Oryzias latipes: one gene and its partners. The protein of the gene in region 3 purifies or fractionates together with the protein of the main gene of each other region. This does not show direct contact. Links are inferred from orthologs where the notes say so. Each region holds a gene or a part of one and is shown on either strand. Other genes may lie near its edges. The genes, in order: aptx, tdp1 and lig3.

Region 1 (8,158 bases), on a different chromosome or scaffold from region 3:
TATAACATCAATAAAGGACATCACAAATGACATTTATATTAAATAATTAAAAATATCACAGAAAATTATTATGAAAAATTATTATCAAAAATTAGATTCTTATTAAATAAAGAAATAAATATTAAATATTAAATAAATACAGCTGCAAAGGTGTAAAAAACATGCGGTCTGCAAAACATGTAAACCCAGTGTGCAAATACTTGGTGCAAATACGCCACATCATCAGCGGCGGTGGATGTGTCATTACTTCTTATTAATAAGTAAAAAAAGGATGTCCCTGTCACAAGCCACTCATTTTCATGGCACTATTTAAGCACTGGTTGTTGTGTTACCGCAACATTTTGATGTGTTTTTGTTTCCACAGAGTTACCTATAGTCATTAGTTGATGCTTGTGTCTGTCCATTTTCAGAGAATGAAGAGAAATTCAACATATATTCTTATTTTAAGAATAAAAGTGCAGCAGAAGGAGTGAAAGAGATGGTAGGGGAGCAACAGAGGAGTAGTGAGGAGGAGGAAGATGAGACAGAGCAGCATGAATGACAGAAGAGAATAAGGAAGACAAAGATGAGACGGCATCAGAGGAGGGACAGTCAGCATCATTGGTCAGAGAAACAAGGCAGAACTCAGCATAAGCAGGGGCTCCACCTGTTCCTGGACCAACTGGTGAAGTTAGAATTATGTTACCCTAATAATAAAAATGTTTCATGATTATAAGTCTGAATAGAAATGTCTACAGATATAATTAATAATTAGAAGGATATTTTTATTATTATTTCAGAACAACAGATTTCATTTTTTGTTTATTGTAGATATCTCTCAGTCAAGAGCCGAACAGCCCAAGCAGACACACCTAAGCATTGAATATAAACAAAAAATATATATATATATATCAGTAGTAGTATCTACTAATGGTATCTACTAGTATCTATTAGTTATTATACTAGTAGTATCTACTATAAATTCATGTTCTACAAAATATCAGTAGGCATTTATCTTTCTATTGGTTTTCTAAAGGTTGTTTTACTACGTTTGGTAGAATGAATTTTAAAAATATAGCTCATGGTTTTTGTGTGCCACCCCAAGATTTAATGTGGCCCCCCACTGGCCACCCCCATGAAAAATTTCTGGAGGCGCCACTGAAGGGTTACCAAAATACATACGGTTTAAACCTTCTCTTACCCTTATAACTTAATTCTTCTGATTGAACACTAGATGGTGACAGAGTTATTCCATTGACACGTCTTTTGGTTCAGTACAGTTTATTCACTAATATATATTATTTGCTGAAAATCACTTAAGTCTTTCAAACTCAAAACGGTTGTTTGTTCACACAAAACCATAAAAAATGCTTCACAGTCAACACTAACCAAACAATAAAGTCAAAATGCTTAAAAGCTAAATTTGGAAAAAGGAGAACTACGTATTTAGATAACAATTATTGCAACATGTAGAGTTTTTTTATTAGGCAACTCTAAAGAATGTTGTGACATGTGATGGATAACAAGTATTTCTGAAGAATATCTGGGTATTTTGACTTCAAACTCCAACAGACAGAAACCCTGAAAAAATAATGTTCCCGCTCTGAATTTTCTAGAAAATGAGCTAACTTAGAGCAAAACAGCCCAGAATAAAAAAGTCCCACGGTTATTTAGAGAGGTGGTGCTTCAGGTGCTCTTTCAGGGCAGGAATGGTGGGACACTCTTTGTGACACACGTGACATTGGAGAGGCAATTTCAACAGCTCACTAGTCCCATCCTTCACAGAGACGCTCCCATCCTTTTCAAGCATCTGAATGACATCTAAAAAAAGAAAACGCTTGATTTTACACACAGCACATCTAAATCAATCAATAACATAAAGTCTGCTCTTACTTTCAGAATCTATGAAGTAATCTGTGGTAAAGGAATTCCAATGCTTCTTGTTCTTCAAACAAGGAGAGTCAAAGTCTTGACTGATCACGTGGAGGTGGATGTGACTGAAGAGTGTAAACAGAACGGTTCATTAGTGGGAAAATGTCAAATTCAGCCGAGATGTCCTCGTGTAACACTACTCTGATGATTTATTGTGCTCTGAAAACAAACCCACAATGAGCACATTTAAAGCAGTAATACCTTTATTTATCCAGGTAGTGATGCTTCAGCACAAGCTCTCAGGGGAATCGTTGCATCCCTACTGCATATGTTTGCATATGTTTATGTTGAAAGTAACAAATACGAGCATTGTGCTAAATTTAATATAGTTTTATCACATTACACCAGGGTCATTATAAGCAAACTAAAGGGCTTTGTTTACTGTTACTTGCTTTCTAGATAATAATAAATAAATAAAAACCAATTTTTTTTTTATTATTATTTTGTTATACACATGTATCAAAGTGAAACAACACTGTGACCTGAAAAACCAGAAAGTGAATTGTTGCATCTCTTCATTATTCTTTATTAATTTTCAACAGTATGGGGAAATTTGAGGCTGGACGGTGGGGTAGTGGTTAGCGCTCTCGCCCCACACTGAGAAGGCCCTGGTTTGATTCCCAGCAGGGCCCTTTCTCTGCTGAGTTTGAACGTTCTCCCGATGGGTTTTCTCCAGGGCACTCTGGCCTTCCTCCAAAAGCATGCATCATAGGTTTACTAGGTGACTCTAAATTGCCCCGAGGTGTGCATGTGTTTGTGTGGCCCTGCAAAAGACTGGCAACCTGTACAGGGTGTTAACCGCTTTTCCTCAGCAGTAGCTGGGACAGGCTCCAGCAACCCCGAAAGGGATACAGCGGGTTAAGAAAATGGATGGATGGTGTACTTTAAGGAGTAACAGCCCAATAAACACACATAATAAAGACTTACCTCATGCTTGGGATGGCGTGATAACCAGTCCGGAAGCTAAGTGAGCTGGATTCTGGACATTGCTTAATCATGCGCTCAGCCACCTTCTGCATGTGTTTCAGCAGATCGCAGTGTTCTGCCTTCAAAGCCTTCAGGCTGGGAATCGACTGCCATGGAAGAACCAGCCAGTGGTAACGAGCTTTGGGATACTTGTCTTTGATCACTACAACTGTATCGTCCTTGTATATCTAAAAAAAAAAAAAAAAGATCAATTAAAACAGAAACAAAACCTAAATTTAGTTTCAATTTAGACGTACGTTTATCAGTAAGTAATGTTGAGTTATAGCTACCTGCATTTTGGGGTCTTGCATTGAAGTTTTCAAGCCTTGACTCCAATGCCCAGAAATTCCCTACAAAATGTCAGTTAACATGAATTATGAGAATGAATATTTAAATAAAAACTCTCCAGGTCTGCAACAATAATTTGTATATTAGGCATAAATCACAGATTGTAGATTTCTTTGTTTCTCCTCACACTAGTTTTTGTGGCTTCTCCTGGAATGACAGCTGCAGCGACTTTTTCTGTGAGTTGTCCAGCTTTCAGGCAGTCTGTCTCTCTTTGGCTTCCTCCATTCTCTTTGACTGGCTCTGGTGGTCTTTTGGTGGCGCCCTGGCTCCCGGTGGTGTCCTCTTTGAACTGCACGGTGTATGGATAAAGGCTGTTGACCACGAGCAGCTGCTCTCCAGGCTTCATTTTGACCTCATTGCCTTTACCCACCACCAAGGAGCCGACAGAGGTGGGGTTTAACCCCAGCTTAGGGAGGGGAGAAAAAAAACAGGTAAAAAAAATAGAACAATAAAAATAATACAAAATGTACAGCAATAAGGCTTTTTATTTTGTTTATACCACTGATCATTCTTGTGAGCATGTTACCTGCTTCACTTTGACATAACCTTTGTTGCATTCAGCTTTCAGTTCAACTGATGGGAAAGTCAGGAACATTTAGACAGGTTAAAACTTTGCATTTCGTTTTACAAACATGAATGAAAATAACTTGATGCTCAAGTCATTCAATTCCTGCTGTTTTCTTAAATGTATTATCCCTGAAATCACTAAAACAATAACAGATTATTTTCCTAACATTCTTACTGAACTCACAGGAAATCTAGAGACTGTTTTTGTAGGTAACATCGTTACCTTGATGCCGGGAGCATTTTTTGTCTTTGATAGTAGTTTCTGGGCCTCGACCCACGACAACTGTCTGTAAATGAGGCAGGTGAATGGGTTTGTGATTCCCCTCTTCACTAATGAGCCAGCAAATGGGCATTTTCTCATTTCGTTACGCTTTTCTCCCTAATATTTAGCAGCGGGACACGTTTGAATGTTTGTTCAACTTGTCGCGGAGTGATGACGAACGAGGGTGCGACCGAGGAACAAGGTGGGGTGGGAAGTTCTGTCTCCTCCCAGAGTTCTTCACTTTGCGAGAGCGCGCAACAACAGCAAAATTGTGAACGACATAAAAACGTGTTTTCTTGTATAAAAATGATATCTTGTAAAACAACTTTTTATTTTTTTTTATTTTTTAGTTGTTGCTTTTTAATTTTTTGGTCTTTTTTCTTCTTCTTGGTTGGTTGGTTTGTCAATGAATGGACATTAAATCATAGCAGTTTCAGAAAATTCAACAAGGCTTGGCTCTTTTTAAATAATATTTAAAATATCACTTTTTTGTATCTAAAACTTTTATTATGACTGACTTTCTGAAACGTGATTGTGCTGAAGTTAGATTCGTTCTTTTTTTCATTTAGGTTTAAATTTGTGGGTTTCAGTCATGTTAATATTGATATCTTTTGGGAGAAAGAACATAACTCGACATGGTGCGGTCACAAGTACCAACAGTCGGGTTTAGCTGTCGACGCGCGTTCCCGCGAGGTGGACGTAGATGTCTGCGCTGCGCGCAGACAAAACTCGACACCACACCAGCAGTCGGCAGAAAGAGGGCTGCAGGAAGATTCTGGAAGAGCCGTTGTGAGCTGCAGTCTTGTGAGGGTGCTAAGCGTGGTCTTCGTTTAAGGTTGGAAAACCACTAATTCTCGAAACATGTTATTAACAACAGCCCACACGTGATTTGTTGGCTAAAAAAATTGGCAAAAAAGCCACCATGTTGATGACATACATAGCTACGACATGAGTAGCTAAATTAGCTACAAAGGCCGAATCATTGTGCCCCTCTACGCAGAGAAATCTAACTTTATCCACAGATAATGGAACAGTAGTAAGCAGAACACCAATGTTAGTCGACATGATGAGCCTGTCGGACTGCATTATATTTTCGGTGTTTTTCTAAATCCCTAGAAGCTTTCAGCTATGATATTGACCAAATGAACAGACTCTAGCAAATAACCCGTTTGCTGCTAGAGCTTCTCGGGTAAAACTGACCTGAGGAACAAAAAGTCTCAGCATTGTTTATTTGTTTTTTTCTATTAGAACAATCTGTCCTAACACACACAGCTACCGTCTCTGTTTTCTCACACAAAACAACAGAAAATTTCTAAGCCAAAAACTCCCATCATGCTCATTTACATGCCTGAAAAAATGTTTTTTTAAACAGCAATGCTCAGATCTGACGTTGTTTAAATATTTTAGTACATAATCAGATTGCTTTGTTAGCAAGTAAAGACTTAAGACTCTTTCTGTTGTTGCTTTTTTCAGCGTCTGGTTGCTTATTGGTCACATTTTAGTCAATCTTAGAATTGGGCAACACACAAGTAAGAAAATTGGACCTCATTCACCTTTGTTTATCATTTCTGAGAAAAAGTTGGCTTTTCTGCTGTAAGCTTCATCCCTTCTTTTTTTCCCTTTCACTCTTGCAGTAACTGCTATTTATTTTGTTTTTCTTATTTAGGTGTTTGTTAAAGTTCCCAATTTTGTTAACTGTCATTAACAGATAAGGACCATCAGATTAACCAGATGAGGATCAGATTTGTTTAGTGTGTGTGTGTTAACACACTGTTATTGTTTTTTCTTTAGGACTGGCCTATAAAAACCTATCATGGTCAAGGAAATGGGATTTTATGACACTTTGGGCGTTCAGGCTAACGCAACACTTGACGAGCTGAAAAAGGCCTATCGCAAGCTCGCCCTGAAATATCACCCTGACAAAAATCCTACAGAAGGAGAGAAGGTACCACATAACGCAGCTGCCACAAACGTCCTTGTTTTTCTTTTCTTTTCTTAAACGATTTGTCTTTAAAGTTCAAGCAGATCTCACAGGCGTATGAAGTGCTGTCAGACCCCCAGAAGAGAGAAATCTATGACAGGGGAGGCGAAAAGGCATTAAAGGAAGGGGGAACTGGTGGCGGCGGCGGTGGCGGTGGCTTTGCATCACCCATGGACATCTTTGACTTTTTCTTTGGTGGAGGTAGTCGGATGCAAAGAGAGCGAAAAGGTAAAATAAATAATGAGAATACAACAAACACACTCTGGGTTTTGTTTTGAAGTATATAGTTTATGGTTCCTCTGTATGTTCCCCCGGTCCGGACTGTACCAAGTCCAACACTGACAAGCAAATGTATTTTTTATGCTCTGAATGAGTTAAAGTGTCGTCGTGTAGGATTTAAACATCACTAACAGTATTTTTAGTTATGTTTCTATAGATGTTAATCATAATATTGTATGATTCTTGAAAAAAAGTTGTCTTTTTGTTCATTCACAGGAAAGAATATGGTGCACCAGATCACTGTATCTTTAGAGGAACTTTATAACGGAGCAACGAGAAAACTAGCCGTGCAGAAGAACTGTATATGTGAGAGGTGTGAGGGTAAGTCTTTCGCCGCTCAGTTTTTTTGAGAATCTTCTGTGCCGCAAAGACACTACTTCTACGTTTCTGCAGAAATAAATAGATGGGTTTAGTACTTTCAAAATCAAATGTGCTAAATATTTACCAAGAATTCCCGATGTTCACAGCAGCAGGAATTCTTTTTGTCCCAAATATTTTTAATATCCACTCTGATAAAAATGCGTTTTTGTTGTCTTTAACATGTTCTAGTGGCATTTTTCTGATGATGGATGGCATATATTAGGGGGAAAAGCTTAAAATTGCATTTCTAAATATTTATTTATTTCAAATTGTTGAAAAAGTGTAGTTGTGATAAAGAAAATATACTGGACGGGTTAGACTGTTTAGTTTAGCCATTACCTATTAATTTTTATAACTTTATGTTCTTTATGATTTCATGTTTACTATACAATTACCGGTATGAAGCCCATTGAGACGACCATTGTTGTAATATTGGGCTATACAAATAAAATTCAATTGAATTTTTTAAAACTTTGTTTAACCCTGGAACTCTTTCGCTATCAAAAGTTACACACCATCACTTTTGTCGGGTAATTTTTACCCGGAATAATATACCCAACAAAAAGTACTTGTCAAAAAAAATAGATCAAAACACGACAACACATAATAAATTAAAGTTTTTTTTTTCAACTGTAGTATGTGTAACAAAATGAAAAACATAGGAAGTTCCTAAAAACATGCTAAAAAAATTACTGAAAAATTAGGAATTTGAAAACAAAAAATTCATTAAAAAAATTACTAAAATGACACTAGAAAGTTGGTCTTTGGTCCATCCATACCTGGGACACGTGAGACTTCCCTGTGAAGGCACGGACGGCTTGACACGCCACATTGAAATTCATGTAAATAGTTTGGCTCAGGTGAAAATCCCCCGGCGACAGTGCTCCAGAGTTTACTGCAGTAGCTCAAGGTAGAGATGTTCCTAGAAATGTTTTCTATCCGTCTTCTCAAGTAATGACTGGGAGATTCTAAATTCATTTCTACAATTTGTGTTTTCCAAATAAAACGTTGAAACCAGAGTCATCAGTAGTATTATTACTGGAACAGATCAGGGTAACGCATCGCTGAGTTGCATATTTACAGATGAAAGCGATTAAAGTTTCTGTTTAGTATTTGGTTGATAGTGAAGCGTTCAATGAATTTCATGCTTTTTTGTTTTGTTTTTTAAGCATGAAGTAGAGCTGGCCTTAAGGTAGAACTAAGACTTTCCCTAAAAGCACAGGTTGTCAGATTGAGTTACTGTTCTTTTATCTTTCCTCACATTGTTGAGTGTTAATGTGACTGAATGAAGGTTTAGTTCTAGACCTGCATGTTCGTTTTGTTCACACCCACATTCCAAAACATCCTCCAGTCCTTTAAGGGGCTTTACTTAAAAAGCTTCATAATCCAACTCGTATAAGAGTCAGGATCAAGTTAAAGCAGAAGATCAAATCAGATTTAAAAAACCCTTTGATTCCTTTTTCCCCTTTAGCCTGGAAAACTAA
Region 2 (7,600 bases), on a different chromosome or scaffold from region 3:
AGTAAAAAACAAACAAAAAAAAAACAGGATTTTTGAACAAGCAGCTACACACAGTACAGTTCAGTGATGGACACATTCAGGAGGGAATCCAGATGTTGCCGTGGGTGTCGGGCTCCTGGCTGTATGGAATATTCCAGATCCATGGTTGATCTGAAAATGTATTATTGTTTATTTAAAAGAACTCTCAGACACAGCTGAAAATGTTGTGACACAATGATCAGATTTTTTAAAAATGTGTCTCCTCAACGGATTCATTTATTTAAAATTTTAACATTTTTTTCTTTATTTAAAAAGAAAACTTTTTAAAATGAAGGGATTGGTAAACCTTTCATGCAGTAGAGATGATTTGTATCAGTAATGATCTGTAAAAATATGCAGATTTAAAAAAAAGAAGCTAAAAAATTAAGCTTTTCCTTAAAGGCACTGATCATTTTTGCTTCATATTTCTACATAAAAGTAACAAATATTTCAACATAAGATGGTACTGCATGTGATTAGATTAGATTATACAGGAATAACCTAATAATAGATTTTTTTAATGGTTTTTGTTTGTTTGTTTTTTGCAGTGGAAAATATTACATTTATATTTGTGGGAAGAAAGTTGTCAAGCTCAGCTGGGTTGACATATGTGGAATAAAACACTAGTTTGATGACGCAAAACTGCGAGTAGACTTCAAACAAAATGGCCGCACCTTTAGCAGCATAAGGTGTAGGTGGGAGGTCGAAAGGCACGAGGAACCCAGACGAGGACGAGGAGACTGGGAATGCACTCTTATCAACGGGGAATGTCTTCAAGTTCTGCCAAAAAAACAAAAACAACAGTGACATTTGGTTTCAACTGTTTTTGTCAATGCAGGCATACATGCTGAAGTACTGGAGTTTTTAGGACCCACACGTTCCTGTGGTGTTTCTCTCATGATGGAGGACATGTGTAAGGAGCGTTTTTTTCTTTATTCAAATCGTTGTGAATCAGGAGCAGACAATAAAATGCGGTTTGAAAAAGATTGTATTTGTGAGAATATGCTGGGCGGGCCACAAGTTCCCGGCTCCGCTCCATTCTGATGCATCCACTTGTAGATAAATAGATCCACGTACGTCTTTTTTTTCTTCGTCTAGCGATAGCTTTTATAACCCTCGCCATTTTGTCGCACCGCTAATGCTAGGTTGGGGTTGTGAGGGGACTGTAAGCTAGCAGAAGAGCTTGTAAACAGAGAGCTCTCAGGAGGGGAATAAGGACAGAATTGTTCTTCACCAACTGTCCCACCCATAACTTAAAGGTACATTTCTAATGAACTACTTCCGCTTTGCAGAAACTATGTCCTCGAAAATAACACTTTTTTTTTTTTTTGCAGTTAGGCTTAAAAAAAAGCACAATCAGAATTCAAAGACCACTGGGAAGGCTTCTACAATAGACCAAAAGATGGCTGAAGTGGATCTTTAAGTATCGTGGGCTGAACTTACAAAGGCTGATGGCACATAGAGGACTCCCAGCTCATACGAACGCACCATCACCTGGGAGTTGTTCTTCTCCAAGGCACCCCACGCTGCTTTGGAAAGGTTTGCACTGGCACCATACAGAGACCAGTTACATCATCAATCAATCAACCAACCAACAAATGAAACTATATTTACAAAAAAAGTGCTTCTCATACTTGCGCAACTTGAAGCGTTTTACAATTAAAAATAGAATCGGGCAATACATAAATAAATCAATAAAAAAGAGAGAAAACCCTGTCCACCCTTTACCCACCCCACTCCCTCCAATTACCCCAAACAAGCATTGATCCCACAATCAATTAATACTAATAAAAGTGCATTCTAAAGGAAACTTAAGGCCTCCTTCATGACATGTTACATCTCAGATTCTTCCAGAGCCTCTTAAAGAGCACGTAGTGAAAGCATCAAAAAAGCACTGAGAAGGCACCTCGTGACGAGGAACCAGGCGAGCTCTGTGAAATCTGGAGAAACCCTCATGTATGTCTTGATGTGAGGCATGGCGTGACTTCTCCCTGTTGCATTCGCCTTCCAGCGACTAAACACACAAACGTTCACAGGCAGTAAGAAAACATGTCTATTTAAAAAAGAAAAAAGGTTTAGCAAAACGTAAAAGGGGTTGGGTTATATAACTTTGCTTCTTCCGACTCGCTTTCGAAAAATGTATCAAACTTTGTTTGACAATCCTTATATATTTCAGTGTCATATGTGCAAATATGTCTATAATTAGAAGCAAATCTAATGTAGAGAAAGTATCATTTATTTTCTAATCAATTTATGAATTAAAATCTTAAATAAATTTAATATATCTATGTATTTTTTATTTTCTTTTATTTTTTTCTCTTGTTTTTTGAAAGGATTTGAAATAAACCACTTACTCAATAGCTGTAGTAATGCAGTTTGGTTGAAGGCCGTTTTTAAATCTGTGGATTGCAGCCTGCAAAGTCTTGATTTGATTTTTAAATTTGAAATGGTTTATTTCAAGCAATCAAACAAGAATAGTACGCAACAACATTACAATCATCAGTTATACATTCATACAATGACGTATCAAATTTGGGATAATTAGACATAAAATTAAATACTGCTTGAAATGCAGGTAACCATTTTATTACATGATTTGTCATTATCCAGTTCCTAACTATATCAGACAGAATTAAGAATCCTTAGGTATTAATAATGGACATGAAAAAGATTAATTACTTAAAATATGAAGTAAAAAATAACCATTTTAGAAATCAACATCAAAATCAGTCTGTGCATAGAAACGTTTCCCTGCTTCTCTGCATTTTCGTTCTTAGAGAAACTGTCTCTCAGACTTTACATCACATATCACTCTAATGTTGACTCTGAAACATAGAATATAAGAATTAACTAGCAGGTGATTTGCACATAAAATTGGCTAAACCGAGCCTCACTGAATGGAGAGTTATAAAAAGCACGAATCTAAAAAGAAAATTGATGAAAGCTTTTTTACTTCATTGCAGTTCCTACAGGAACAAATAAGGCTTTGTTTGCAGAACGTTAAAACTCTCCTATTTTATTTAAAAATATCTGTTTTAAGGGGTTTCTCTAACTTAAAATGTCACATAATTGCTATTAACTTTTAAAATTATTTGCAAGATTTAAAAAAGTTGTCTCTTCATTGCTTAAGTGTTGAAATGTTAATACATTAACACGTATTAAAGGAAGTGGTTGAATTTGATCGGTGCATGGGAACTTACTGGAAGTAGCCGTGAAGCCAGAGCTGTTTCTGAGCCGTCTGGATGCTGTAAGGAAGAGAGCCTCCAGCTGGAGAGAAAAAAAAAAACAAACCAAACAGATAAACTTACATAACACGGTTTTAGAGCCAGTTAACAAAAAAAACAAAAATTCTTTTAAATTTGACCTGTTCAAATTTAGTCTGTCTGCTCTGCTGCTGTGCAGTGTTCACTCACTGCACGTATGCTAACTTCCACTTCAATCTCGTAAATTTACGAGAAAAAAGTCGTATATTTACGCCTTTAAATCTTGTAATATTACTTTTTTTTTCTTTCTGTCGTACTTACACAACAATGAACTGCTGTGGTTTTGAGGTTCAATGTTAAGTTAAAGGTTCAGTTGAAATGACGGAAGCTCTCACCTGGATATCCTTCCAGACTCATTCTCACATCTTCCACAGCTGGATAGAGCTGTGAAGGAGAGGCCCATCAGTACTTCTCTTAGGTCAGGCGTCAAAGCTTTCTGACAGACCATAAAAACTATGGATACGCTCCTGACATCATGACACACAACTTGAAGGCTCTAAGCAGTCATGGAGTCAGTTAACATGTCTTTTTTTTAATAAGAACTGTTTAGATATAGCATTTATTCACAAACAAGAATCCATCTTAGTCTTTATTACCCTTCTGACACATAAAAATGTTCACTTTTGCTTTGTCCTTAAACAGAACATGTGGGGTAGACCGCAGAACATACCAACAGCACAGGAGGGTCAGGGCGTGAGGAGGATTTCCCTAAAGTTGTCATTGTGCGCTGGAACTCCCCCGCTAACCACTTGGTTTTATCCAGTCCCATCGAGCCGATGCTGGAAAACTGACCGATCACGGGCCACTTTTCCTCGCCGGGAATCGGATTTGTGTGCTCGTACAACAGCTAACAAAGAAAGGTAAAAAAAAAAAACATAAAAAAGGAAATTGAAACTCAGAAAAGCAAAGGATTCTGCTGCTACGTTAAAAATGATGGCACAGGTCTGATCATTTTGATTAAATTAGAATAAATAAACGTTTTTCAGACACATCAGCGAACTTTGCTATACACTGGAAAAAATGTCCTTCAAGTTAAAAGTATAGAATACAAGATGTTTTTCCTTTGTTAATAAAAAGTGAAAAAAAAAGAAAATATCTGCCAATAGAACTAGAATTTGTCTAGGTGAGATTCCTTAAAATAAGTTGTGATGTCTTACCATATTTAGGTGGTATTTTCTTAATATGTCTTAAATAAATAAATAATAAATAAATAAAGGCATGTTGCTCAGGAACGAGTTTCAAAATCCTTTTCCTTAAAAATATCATATTCTAAGCACTACAACTGTCCAGCTATCCTTACTTCTACACCATAATCATCTTAAAGTCAGACCAGTATTACACCTCTCAAGATCCATTTGTTTCAATTATATGTCGAATGTTGAGTCAAATAAAACTTTCCAGTTTCCCAAAGTTTCCTTAGGTCTGTTTTATTGAAGATCTGTCAAAACTCACAAATAAAGTAAACAATCAAAAGATAAAGGAATAAAGTGGAGGACCTTCCTCAGCCTTAGATGTCCCCAGCGCTCCATGTCTGGACCCACAAACCTCCCTGGAGTGGAGCCGACCAAATACACCCTGACAAAAGAGTCCGATGAGATCCGGCTATGATCCTGCTGTATTTGGTATGACTGTGTGTGTGTGTGTGTGTGTGTGTGTGGGTGTGTGTGTGTGTGTGCGTGTGTGTGTCCACCTCGTCTCTGACAGGTCGTGCTCTTTGATGCGCTGGATCCACTCCTCCAGTTCTGGGGCCCGGTATGAAGTCAGGTAGTCCAGGAGGTCCCTTTTGAAAAAGGTGGGCGACTCGCCTGCACTCCAACCGCTGCCCGCTGGTAGCCTTGGAAACAGAGGACTCATCCACATCCTAGCACGGAGGACGTGTTTTAGAAGCAGTTTCCAACATAATCATGTTTAATCAAGCTTGCATTCAGTCCCTCTTCAGCCATTATTCAGTCCACAGGAGATGAAATATTGCAGCATCACCGGAGGCAGAAAACGTAGAGAACAATAAAGCAACAGCTGCTTCAGCTTCAATCACTAATTGAACTTCTCTGCATAGAAAATATCGTAATGGTAATCTTCATCAGATGGTGTGGAACTTAAGAGCCACAAGTAACTAAATATAGAATAGAGACCCACCCCTGTGTCTTTTGATACCAGTCGGCTCTGATAAGGTTTGATGTGAGGATGATGACTCTGAAGCCTTCTTCGTACCACAACAACATCATCTTCCTGCACAGACAAGCAACATTGAGATACATCTAATTCTAACTCATTATGAACTAAAACAATTCTGACAATCACCCACAGCTGTTAAAGATCTAAAATGGAATATGATTAATTTTTTTCTATAATAGTTAAAGTACGCTGTAATGGAAAAATGCAAGAAAAAACCGATGACCATCAACAGAATATGTTTTTTCTTTAGAACAAAAAAAAAACCTCTTATTTTCTGTTTTTGAAACAAGAAAATTAATGAAGTAATCAGGAAAAGTTAAAATTATAGCACTTCTGTATATTGTTTTATTAAGTTATATGATAATATTTTGTCATTTGAATAAATCCTTCAGCCCTGGTTTAAAAAAACACTCAAGAAGTCATGCAGATAGAAAATGTTGCATGTTAAAGCCTATTTTATTTGGATTATTAAAGCACATTTTAAAGAAAACTCCATAAGAAACACACTAACACAGTATGTAAGTCAATAAAACAGAGGTTTACTTACGTGTGGTGAGTTCCAAAAGCGATGTCCAGTTTGGCCTGTCGACAAAGAATTTAATGGAACAAACATTATCTGCTGCAGTCATTTAGGAAATACAGATTCCATTTGATTAGCTCTTAAAACCACATTTTAATCAGTCAACGTAGGTATAACCGGATCAAAACATGCAAACTTATAAAAAGAATATAAATATTTATATAATTTTAAGGGTTTTTATAGCTGCAGCTGAAAACATTATACATTTAAATTTTAAGAGCGTCAAATGTGAATTCCACTTCCTGTTTAGAAACAGCAACTCAAATCATAATAATTGAATCTTAAACAGAAGAGGAATAAAATCAGCGGTTCTGCTGTAGGAACAGTTTTCCTCAAACTATTACTGAATTGAACAAGTACTGAAACTGGTCTGTTGGGGAATGAAACTAACCATTTGGGCTGTGTCCAAACTGGAGGTCTGCATTCGTCCTGCATTTGTCGGCGTCGTCACGGCGGCGCGACAAGTGCTATCCAAATTCAACGACTCCTTCAAATGCGGCCAACAAATACGGCCTTCTTTTTTAACGATTTCTAGGATCGGTCTGGTGTATCCTTTTATGCTGTGCATATCCCAAGAGGTATTGCGGCTGAACCTGGAGATTTTCTGACAACAATGGCGGACTTTGAAGAGGGAGCCGGAGTTGGAAACCTTTTCATAATTACACCTCCAAGATTAAAAGTTGAATCAAATAAGCCAGGAAAAATTTTGACCTCCACGCCTGGTTCACTACTCCTCCCTGTTTGTGACTAACGGTTGCTAGGCGACAGGACACTTGCTGATGTAACGGCTGGAATTATCCAGAGGCTAGACTCGTCCAAATTTACAGCCGTTAACATCCGGCCCACCCGCTCGACGAAGGACCCGGCCAACATCGCCCGGGAAGGCCGCGGCCATTGGAGGATGCAGCCCTCGAAGTTGGAGACAGCCCTTGGGTTAAAGAACAGCTTTGTGCGTCAATGCTTCCCGTACCTGACAGAAGCGAACATGAGGAAAGGCTTGAGCCTGCTGGAGAAGCCGTGCTTTCGCCTCCCTCTTATCTCCATGTACGATCAGAACCGGACGATCTCTGAAAACACAAACTGAGCTTTAAACCAAACAACAGTTACCCGTGTGTTTTATTGGATTACTTACACTCAAGTAAAACCTGCTTTTGTTTGACATGAAGCTGAAGTGCTGTGAAACAGCAGAGCAACTGGAGTCATGAAAATGTGGATGTGAGACTTACCGAAACTCCGGTGGGTATTGCTGAACCATCCATGGAATGTCAAAGCAGTAGTTAAACTATAAAAAAACAAAGAAAGGATCACTTGAAACAGAAGATACTTCAGTTTCTTAGTGTCTTTCCCTAAAGGCCAGTTGATCGAAAACAATTCAGTCAGTGGAAGTGAGCGGAAATTTGTGATATAAATCTAGTGACATACCTGAACCGACTCTTTCAGGGTTCCAAATAAGGGGGAGAGAATGTCTGCACACAAAAAAATTCCCGTAAAATTCCCATAAATAGCTCGTCAGTAATGGAATGTGTATTACTAATGATGAGGAGTTAATCCTAGACAAATGCAA
Region 3 (7,672 bases):
GCGGAGCTACTCATAGAAGAACTGGAGAGCAAAACGGTTATTTGAACTTTCCAGAGTTTATAATGGAACTGCTGACATTTCTTACTGAATAATTTCATGTTGTTGTGTTATAAATAAAGCAATAATGAACTGTAAACAATTTTACGTTGCTGTTGAATTAAAAAGGTGCATTCAGCTTAAACAATTGTAAAAGACGTTTAAAATCTTAGACTGTTTCTCCATGGAGACGTCTGCAGCTGTTTAGTGACTAAATGTCGTCGGATCAAACACTTTTTACTAAAGTCCGGCAGGATTTCCTCTTTTCTTAACGAACCTGACCCAGATCCCAAATATCAGTTCACGTCGGCCCTGCCCACCTTTTTGGCGCTGGAAGCTTCCGAGTTGGGAGTGCGGGGTTCCGACTTCTGGGCCTTTGCTTTCGTTGGTGTTCTGTTAGCTGTGAAATGTTAGCATCAGATTGACATTGAGGTTTTTTCTTTTCCTTTGATTTGGAGCCAGAACAGACGTTCTGAGGGAGACTCGACATCAGAGATGAACTTACCCGTCTTTTTGGGGGGAGCGCTCGTGTTGGAAGAGGGCGACGGCGAGCTCCCCGTGCTGTCCCCCCCTGACGACCCTTTGTTGTTGTCGGCGGTGGACGGGCCGGCCGTCACTTTGAAGTCGCAGTGCTCCTTGGAGATGCGGAACAGCTCCTGCGGGAGCGATGGACGCACGTTTAAACCCATGAACCTCTGCTCCTCCTCTTCATCATTTGTCACATGACCTCCCGTCTTCTCAGCGGGACATAATCAGCTGGACTGCACACCTCGCCGTCGGCCATCTCTGCCCAAACGTCTGTGTTTTAGGCCGCTGAGGAAACTGAAGGTCTCACCCTGAGCTGGTGCAGGTTGGTGGCGGTCTTCCAGTCTTTGTCGTCGCGAATACGCGTCATGCGCGGGAAGCGGATGGAGATGCCGTCGGCGGTGTGCATTTCCGATTTGGAGAACTCGGCACCGGTTATCTCCCAGACCGGCGCTTTCTGCGGGAGGGAAGCAGCACATGAGAGGCCCGCGAGCACTGCTGGCGCTTTCCTGCAGGATCCGGACGCCGAGCGGAACACCTCACCTCAGGGTCGCGGATAATGAAATCTGGATAATAGTTCTTGACGATTTTCAGCCAGCCGGGGATTTTGCTCGGCTCCTACAGAAGCAGAGGATGAACTCCTGACTGTTTGGAATTTTCCAGCTCCGCCTCTCTAAGTGGATCTTCTCTGACCTTGCTGATTTTAATCACATCCAGCTCCTTCTGGAGCCGGGCCAGCATGGCGTCATCGTATCCTCCGGAGCACTTGGTCACGGTGCACCATTTCTTTGAGTCTGGGTCGTAGCAGCCCATCAGAAAACTGGACATGATGCCCCCTGGTGGGAGGAAGAACAAGTACAACTTTAGAGCAGCGAGTGTTGCTTTGCTGACAATCTGAGTTTACTTTGGAGTTTTTTTTGGGTATGACCTTCTTCATGAGATTGCTACAAAGAAAATTGCTTTAAATTGTTTAAGGTTTCACTTTGATCATCTTTTGGTCTTTTTTTAAAGTGTTCCCAGTGGTCTTTTAATTATGATTATGCTATTTTTTTGTGCCAAAAATCAAAAAAGCTGTGTTGACATAGTTTCTGCAGAGTTCTGTTTCAGCTTGTGGCCCGTCCAGCATCGTTTTTTTTATCTGCTCCTGATTTACAATGATTTGAATAAACAAAAACTCAAACGTGCACTTTTAAGCTGATTTTCTTTACATATGTCCTCCATCAGAAAACTGCAACAAGAACACGTTAAAAAACCCATCAATAATTCCAACGTTTTTCAAAGTTTTGAAATGTTTTGTCATCCTGAAAGTATAAAAGGGGTGGAGTGACAGACCACATGACACGTGCTGCAGAATTAAAACCAAAGTTTAGAGAAAGGAAAAGCAGATACTTTCTTCTTTAGTCATTCATTTTGCAGAGTTGAATCTGTTCTCTGACCATCACCCACCGTTTGAGCCTTTCCCATAAAAGGCGCCGAGCACCACCAGGTCAGCCGTGTCCGCCATGGCGCCTTCGTTCAAGTAGTCTTTCTTCACTTTCAGCCAGTGGCGCTTCCCCGGCTCGTAGGTGCTCTGGAAACGCGAGAACCTTCAGCGGCGCTGCAAACATCAGCTTCCTGTGTGAAGCAGGACGCCGCTCACCTTGATGTCCTTGAGCACCAGGCCTTCCAGTCCTTCCCTGATGACCCGCGTTATCATGTCGGCCAGGTCTCCTGCTCTCTGACACACAAAGGCGTGGCAGGTCTTTAACGTGCAGCGACGACAGGAAGCCGCGCTCGGTGGAAACGCCTACCGTGACGTGTTTCATCTCTGAGAAGAGGATCCTGTTGGGAACTTCCACCATGTTGTCCGTCAGGAATTTCCTGCGCTCCTTCAGAGGCCTGAGAGAAACGACTCCTCTGGATTATTTACAAAGTCCACCAAGGAGGAGTCCAGCGTCACAGAATTTTAAAGAACTTCAAAACATTCATGAGAACATCACGGAACTTCATTCTCATGAAGAATATCTTTCTAACTTTACCCAACTGCTTTTCCTTCCTTCATCTTTCTGGGGTCCAGATGACCCAACGTTAACGTGCCTCCGAGGCACGTTAACGTTGGGTCATCTGGACCCCACAAGACAGCACACGGGATAAACTGGTGCCACATTCTGTTGCGTTTTATCCGTTCGAGATGAGCAGACTTACTTCTACCCGAGTATTCCTTTGAAATAATACGCCTTAAATATATAGCGCCGACCACAATATTGAGAGAAAATTGAATATCTGATTCCGACCGAGTTTGAAACTTTGTCATCAGGCCTGATTTCTGATCGGATCGGGACGTCCCAAAATCACACCTGCAAAAAAACCTTTTTGACCCCATGTGCTTCTCTTTATCTTTGATAAAACCAAACAGGCCGACGTCCTTCATTTTAGCCAAATATAAGGTTGTTTTTATTTTGAAAGACTAAAATCTGGGTAGGAAACAGACACAGAAAGTCTTAAACAAAGAGAGACAATTTGTTTGTTTTTTTTAGCTATTTTTCCTTGTGTCCATTAGATGGAAAAAACTGACAGTCGTGAACTATAAGGACTTTTCTGTAGCAGTTTGAGAGCCATAAACAGGAGAACCGAGGAAGACTAACTGAAAGAGAATGAAGTTAGGCGGCAAACCGTCAAAGACGCCTGCAGAGAAGCGTTTCGGGTTTGTGCAGAGCTGAATTAACGCCGTAGCTTTCATTGTTCCATCGGGGACGCAGGCGTCTGTGTGTGGAGGAGAAAGCCTTACCGCTCCATGAGGCTCACGCCATTGAAGTAGATGCAGTCGAAGACAAAAAGGCACACGTTGGCGTCTTGAAAGGCTGCTTTCTGAGGGGAGGAAAGGGTTTGAAGTGTGACAACAATGACTGGTCAGAGGGAAAATAAAAAAGTTCTTCCTCACCTTGTGTATCCCCAAAGTCCCAAAGGGCAGAGGTTTGCTGCTCTTTGTGTCAATTAGGAGGACCTCAGCATCCAGAATCATACTGTGTCCTCCAGGAAAAGCCTGAGGGATGTAGTCTTTGAAATGGGCCACCTGAAAACCACAAACGCACAGGGATCAGAATTTAAACAAGGACTCGACGCTGTGTGAATATTATACTGTGGTCCAGGCCAGTACTGGATTCTGATTGGCTGATTAGCAGAAATGAATGTCCCTGTCGTCCATTCATGCCTGCTCGTTCTCTGCCCTGCTCAGAAATACACGCGACTATAATTAGGGAGCTATTACAGTTCAGTTCAAAAAGCATCATCCCCCCCCCCCCCAACACCTACAAAATGATGCCACAAACGACACTATCTCAGCAAAAAAAAAATCTAACGTTTGTCATTTTTTGTAAAGGAAAGCAGGAAAAAGTTTGATTAAAATTGGAATTTGATTTTATTTTCAGACCATTTATTCTGTGCGGATGACGTGGCCTCCTACACAAATTTCCATCCGTTTTTATGCTCGGTCGCACGTAAATACAGGCGAATAACGTCAAGAAAACACGATTTCAATGTGGCAGCAATTCTGTTGGTGATATTTCCATAGCAACCATTTATTTTTAAGTCGCCTGGGAGTGACAAACAGGTTTGTGTCACTTTTGGAAGGATTTTCTGTTAACCTGAATATGCTCACGTCATCGTGCGTCATATTGTTTTGTTCAGCTCAGACCAACCACCATCTTCATTATATTCTGGTAGAAATGTGCGAGCAGCAGGGAAACGCCACTTTTGCGAGCTAACGCCGTTAAAATGCTGCAAAATTTTCCCGTTTTAGGGGAAGATTTAGGGGTCAAAATTTCCCACTTCGCCACCAAATGGCAGCCAAGCTGTAGGCCTATGGCCATCCCATAATAATTGAAGATCTTCCTTTGGAAATTCCAGACACGTGTGGATTTTGAAATATTTTTTGGCCCCATTCCCTTTTTTCCCCCACGATGCCCAAAATTCCTTTTCAGCAGGTGACAGGTGCGTGGATGCTATGGTGGGTTTTTGGCAGGTCGTGACCTTTTCTGAGGTTCTAAGAACAATCCGGTCCCTTGGCTGCAGCTGCTGCAGGTCAGAATTCTAAAATGACAAATTCTACGTTTGATGTCCTTTTCAAAACTTGTGGATTTCTCCGTCTGTGGGGGTGGGGGTGGGAGGTGGGGGGGCGTGAGCCCCGGGCTAAGAAAACAACGCTAGACGACTTTGGCCGCCCTTCTGCAGCCCCCCACACACCACGTAAACCCACCGTTAACACAAACTCCCTGATTGCAGAGGCCGGGGGCTGCAGAAGGGCGGCCAAAGAGGATCCTGAGACGGATCCACAATCAGCAGCTTGTTGCTATTTACTAAGGAAGCAGAGGATCCTCTGCTTCCTTAGTAAATAGCAACAAGCTGCTGATTGTGGATCCGGAAACAGAGCCGAGGATTTGCCGCTTTCAGAGCGGGCTGCAGCTACATCTAGTGGTTGTTTGGTTCCTGATGCCGACGGCGTCTTCGTTTATAGTTTGTGGGAAATGTGGGTCTTTTTTTCTGTCAGTTAGAAGTATCTTCCAACAGTGGGGCAGACCTTGTGCGGCAGCACGGGTTTGAGGCTGCGGCTGAAGTAGCTGAACGAGTCGCCGCTCTTGTGGACCTGCACGCGCTCGCCGTCGTACTTGATCTCGGCGTACATCCCGTTCGGACACTTTTTCATGGCCTGATCGATGGATTTGCACGCCTCGGCCTGCAATCAGAGAAGAAAAGCAGCACAGGTAAACCCATCGGGTTGGATGTACAGTGGTCCCCCGCTATATCGCACTTCACCCTCTGTGGTTTCTGGTTTTGTTCGTTTTTCAAACCGCTTTGTGTTCTGCAACCTGATTGGCTATAAACCTCGTCAATCAATCTCCTGTACAGAATGCGTTCAGTTTAGAAAAACTGCATGGCAAATTCCTACTTCACAGATCATTTTTAGAAGGTAACCCCTGCCATAAAAGAGGGACCACTAAAGGATTTTACCTGAACCTGTGAGGAGTAATCGGTTTAAAAACTGAAACAAAAAAAAACCTAAAAATGGGACGTTCTCTTGTTGTCATATTGAATTTTGTGTGTGAAAAAAAGTGAGGCAGGTACACCAGCAGAGAATTTTCTGAAACATTCCAGACTTGGAACGAGGAAAATCCGTCTTCTGCGACCCCCCAAGTACCACATGACCAGAACCGCCGGCGTGTGCGCTCACCAGCATGGGCTGCACGGGCGTCATGAGTGACGCCTCAACCGTCAGCAGCTTCCGGGGTCCCGACCCGTTGGACGCCTCTTGCTGGTTTCTCAGAACCCTCTGGATGACGTCGCCCAGGTTACGGGAGGCCTTGAAGGCGTCGTACGCGTTCGGATCTACGGCGTCCAAGCTGCACAAGGAGGCGCAGGTGAGAAGGAGCCGACTGCGGCGCGTTGACTGCGGCGCGGCGTGGACTGACTTACACGTGCTTCGCTCCGGCGTTCATTTTCAGGTCGTGCTTAATCAGTCTGATGATGCATTTCAGGTCGTTGCTGGTGCATCTGTGAAGACGAGAAGATCATCTGAGGTCATTTACTACAAAACCTTCAGGACAAAGGTTCTGATGAGACGGAGGAGGAACTTTGTGGAAGAAAAGAGTCCTCAAAGATAAATGAAGATCAGACATTCTGGTGGGAGGCCGGGATCCCTGATCTGGATCAGGACGTCCTTCAGCAGCAATGGCGTCTAACACCAAGCTGAGGAGACTTTTACTTTTTGGCGATGGCTTCCAGTTCGCTCTGCTGCTCGTCCTCCTTCGTCAGCTGAGCGAGGCGGGTCAAAGATTCATCCACTTCCTGAATGGTGAGCAGGCTCTTGGATGCAGGAGGAAACGATTTACTCTCTTCAAAGAACATCCGGACCGTCTCCGACACGTCACCCTTCAAATGTGTAAAAAAAAAAAAAGCATCTGAAGCATAATTTCTGTTAAATGTGACACAGCAGCTGGTGGTGCTTTCAACCGTCCTCTGAGCTCTGAACGTACGTAGATCAGAGTTCAGAGAGGTTTGGATGCAAACATCAGCGCTCCTGTCGTCAGACTCTTTAAAGCTCAGGTGTAAACAGCACCGACAGGTATGTGTCGAAAAAAATGGGGCATCAATCAGGATCCAGAACCAAAGCTGGAGTTATTTAAACTCCTGATGGAAATTGAAATGGAAACAGTTCGCTTTGGATTTAAATGCAGAAAAAGATACAAAAGCTCAGGTTTCTGATTAGAAACAATGAATTTCTGTTTTATTTTACTTGATCTTTTTTTGGTATATTGGTTTTTTATGGATGTCCCCCGCCTTTGCCCACGCGTTGCCGGGATAGCCCCCCGGCAGCCCCGTGACCCCAAAAGAGACAAAACGGGTTTAGAAGACAAATGAATGAATGTTTTCCATGAAAATTCTGTTAACTCGCCTATTAATGAAGGTTTTGCCAAACATGTTTAAATAAAAAGCTCCTCTTGGATTAGGATTAGGAAGATAAAACGGCAGCGTCAGACTATTCAAGATGATCTTTATGACACAGTCTAGGTCTGTATTTATTGACATTGACCTGCTAAAATCATCTTTTGATCGGTTTTCACAACATTCCCAGTGTCTCTGTCTTTAGCCAAAAGCAAGGATATAGTTTCTGCAGAGCGGCGGGAGTTCATTAGTAATTCACCTCTGAGTTGTAGGCGGGATTGCTGGATGCAGACCAACCCCGCCCCCCTTCCCATTACTGAGGCCCGCCCAGCATTTTTAAGATCTTTCTTTTCGTCTGCACCTAATTTACAACGATTTGAATAGAGAAATACTCTGCAAGGCAATCTCTGCAAAGCTTAATTTTCGTAATATTTTTCCGCCCCCATCAGAAAGAACATGTTAAAAACGCCAAAGCCCATTTTCATCCCTCTGGAAGGGTTTGGAAAATCCCCGTTTCCTGTGGAAAAACTGCTGGAGAACAAACCTGTTCCAGGTCTCGAACCATCTCCTCCTGGTTGGATCTGAATATGCGGCTGAAGAGTTTCACAATCTGCTTGTCGTTGAGGTTGTAGACGCTTTTCACGACGCCTGGCAGCAGCAGTTTCACCGTCAGGTAAAGATCTCCGTGGAATTG

What was found.
Region 1: the proteins of lig3 (region 3) and aptx purify together in Homo sapiens (affinity purification with mass spectrometry; 3 studies listed by BioGRID and IntAct, with this or other methods). This does not show direct contact. The link is inferred for Oryzias latipes from reciprocal best matches to the Homo sapiens genes LIG3 and APTX.
Region 2: the proteins of lig3 (region 3) and tdp1 purify together in Homo sapiens (affinity purification with mass spectrometry; 4 studies listed by BioGRID and IntAct, with this or other methods). This does not show direct contact. The link is inferred for Oryzias latipes from reciprocal best matches to the Homo sapiens genes LIG3 and TDP1.

Annotation. Positions count from the first base shown.
Region 1 is NC_019859.2:15,248,569-15,256,726, forward strand, and holds aptx (aprataxin), read right to left. Parts: upstream 4,246-8,158; 5' UTR 4,146-4,245; coding exon 4,016-4,145; intron 3,799-4,015; coding exon 3,752-3,798; intron 3,632-3,751; coding exon 3,353-3,631; intron 3,228-3,352; coding exon 3,168-3,227; intron 3,066-3,167; coding exon 2,839-3,065; intron 1,977-2,838; coding exon 1,873-1,976; intron 1,801-1,872; coding exon 1,646-1,800; 3' UTR 1,242-1,645; downstream 1-1,241. Other genes in the region: dnaJ homolog subfamily A member 1, read left to right, coding at 5,868-5,999, 6,071-6,263, 6,531-6,635. UniProt on the Homo sapiens protein: DNA-binding protein involved in single-strand DNA break repair, double-strand DNA break repair and base excision repair.
Region 2 is NC_019861.2:31,360,194-31,367,793, reverse strand, and holds part of tdp1 (tyrosyl-DNA phosphodiesterase 1), read right to left. Parts: intron 7,503-7,600; coding exon 7,459-7,502; intron 7,319-7,458; coding exon 7,263-7,318; intron 7,104-7,262; coding exon 7,007-7,103; intron 6,039-7,006; coding exon 6,004-6,038; intron 5,511-6,003; coding exon 5,418-5,510; intron 5,143-5,417; coding exon 4,972-5,142; intron 4,857-4,971; coding exon 4,778-4,856; intron 4,129-4,777; coding exon 3,952-4,128; intron 3,666-3,951; coding exon 3,617-3,665; intron 3,286-3,616; coding exon 3,219-3,285; intron 2,033-3,218; coding exon 1,925-2,032; intron 1,565-1,924; coding exon 1,462-1,564; intron 799-1,461; coding exon 693-798; intron 151-692; coding exon 77-150; 3' UTR 1-76. UniProt on the Homo sapiens protein: DNA repair enzyme that can remove a variety of covalent adducts from DNA through hydrolysis of a 3'-phosphodiester bond, giving rise to DNA with a free 3' phosphate.
Region 3 is NC_019872.2:27,674,965-27,682,636, reverse strand, and holds part of lig3 (DNA ligase 3), read right to left. Parts: coding exon 7,523-7,672; intron 6,466-7,522; coding exon 6,299-6,465; intron 6,088-6,298; coding exon 6,010-6,087; intron 5,937-6,009; coding exon 5,768-5,936; intron 5,273-5,767; coding exon 5,117-5,272; intron 3,614-5,116; coding exon 3,482-3,613; intron 3,409-3,481; coding exon 3,329-3,408; intron 2,440-3,328; coding exon 2,352-2,439; intron 2,279-2,351; coding exon 2,201-2,278; intron 2,132-2,200; coding exon 2,008-2,131; intron 1,398-2,007; coding exon 1,255-1,397; intron 1,180-1,254; coding exon 1,105-1,179; intron 1,019-1,104; coding exon 872-1,018; intron 693-871; coding exon 542-692; intron 437-541; coding exon 357-436; intron 1-356. UniProt on the Homo sapiens protein: Isoform 3 functions as a heterodimer with DNA-repair protein XRCC1 in the nucleus and can correct defective DNA strand-break repair and sister chromatid exchange following treatment with ionizing radiation and alkylating agents.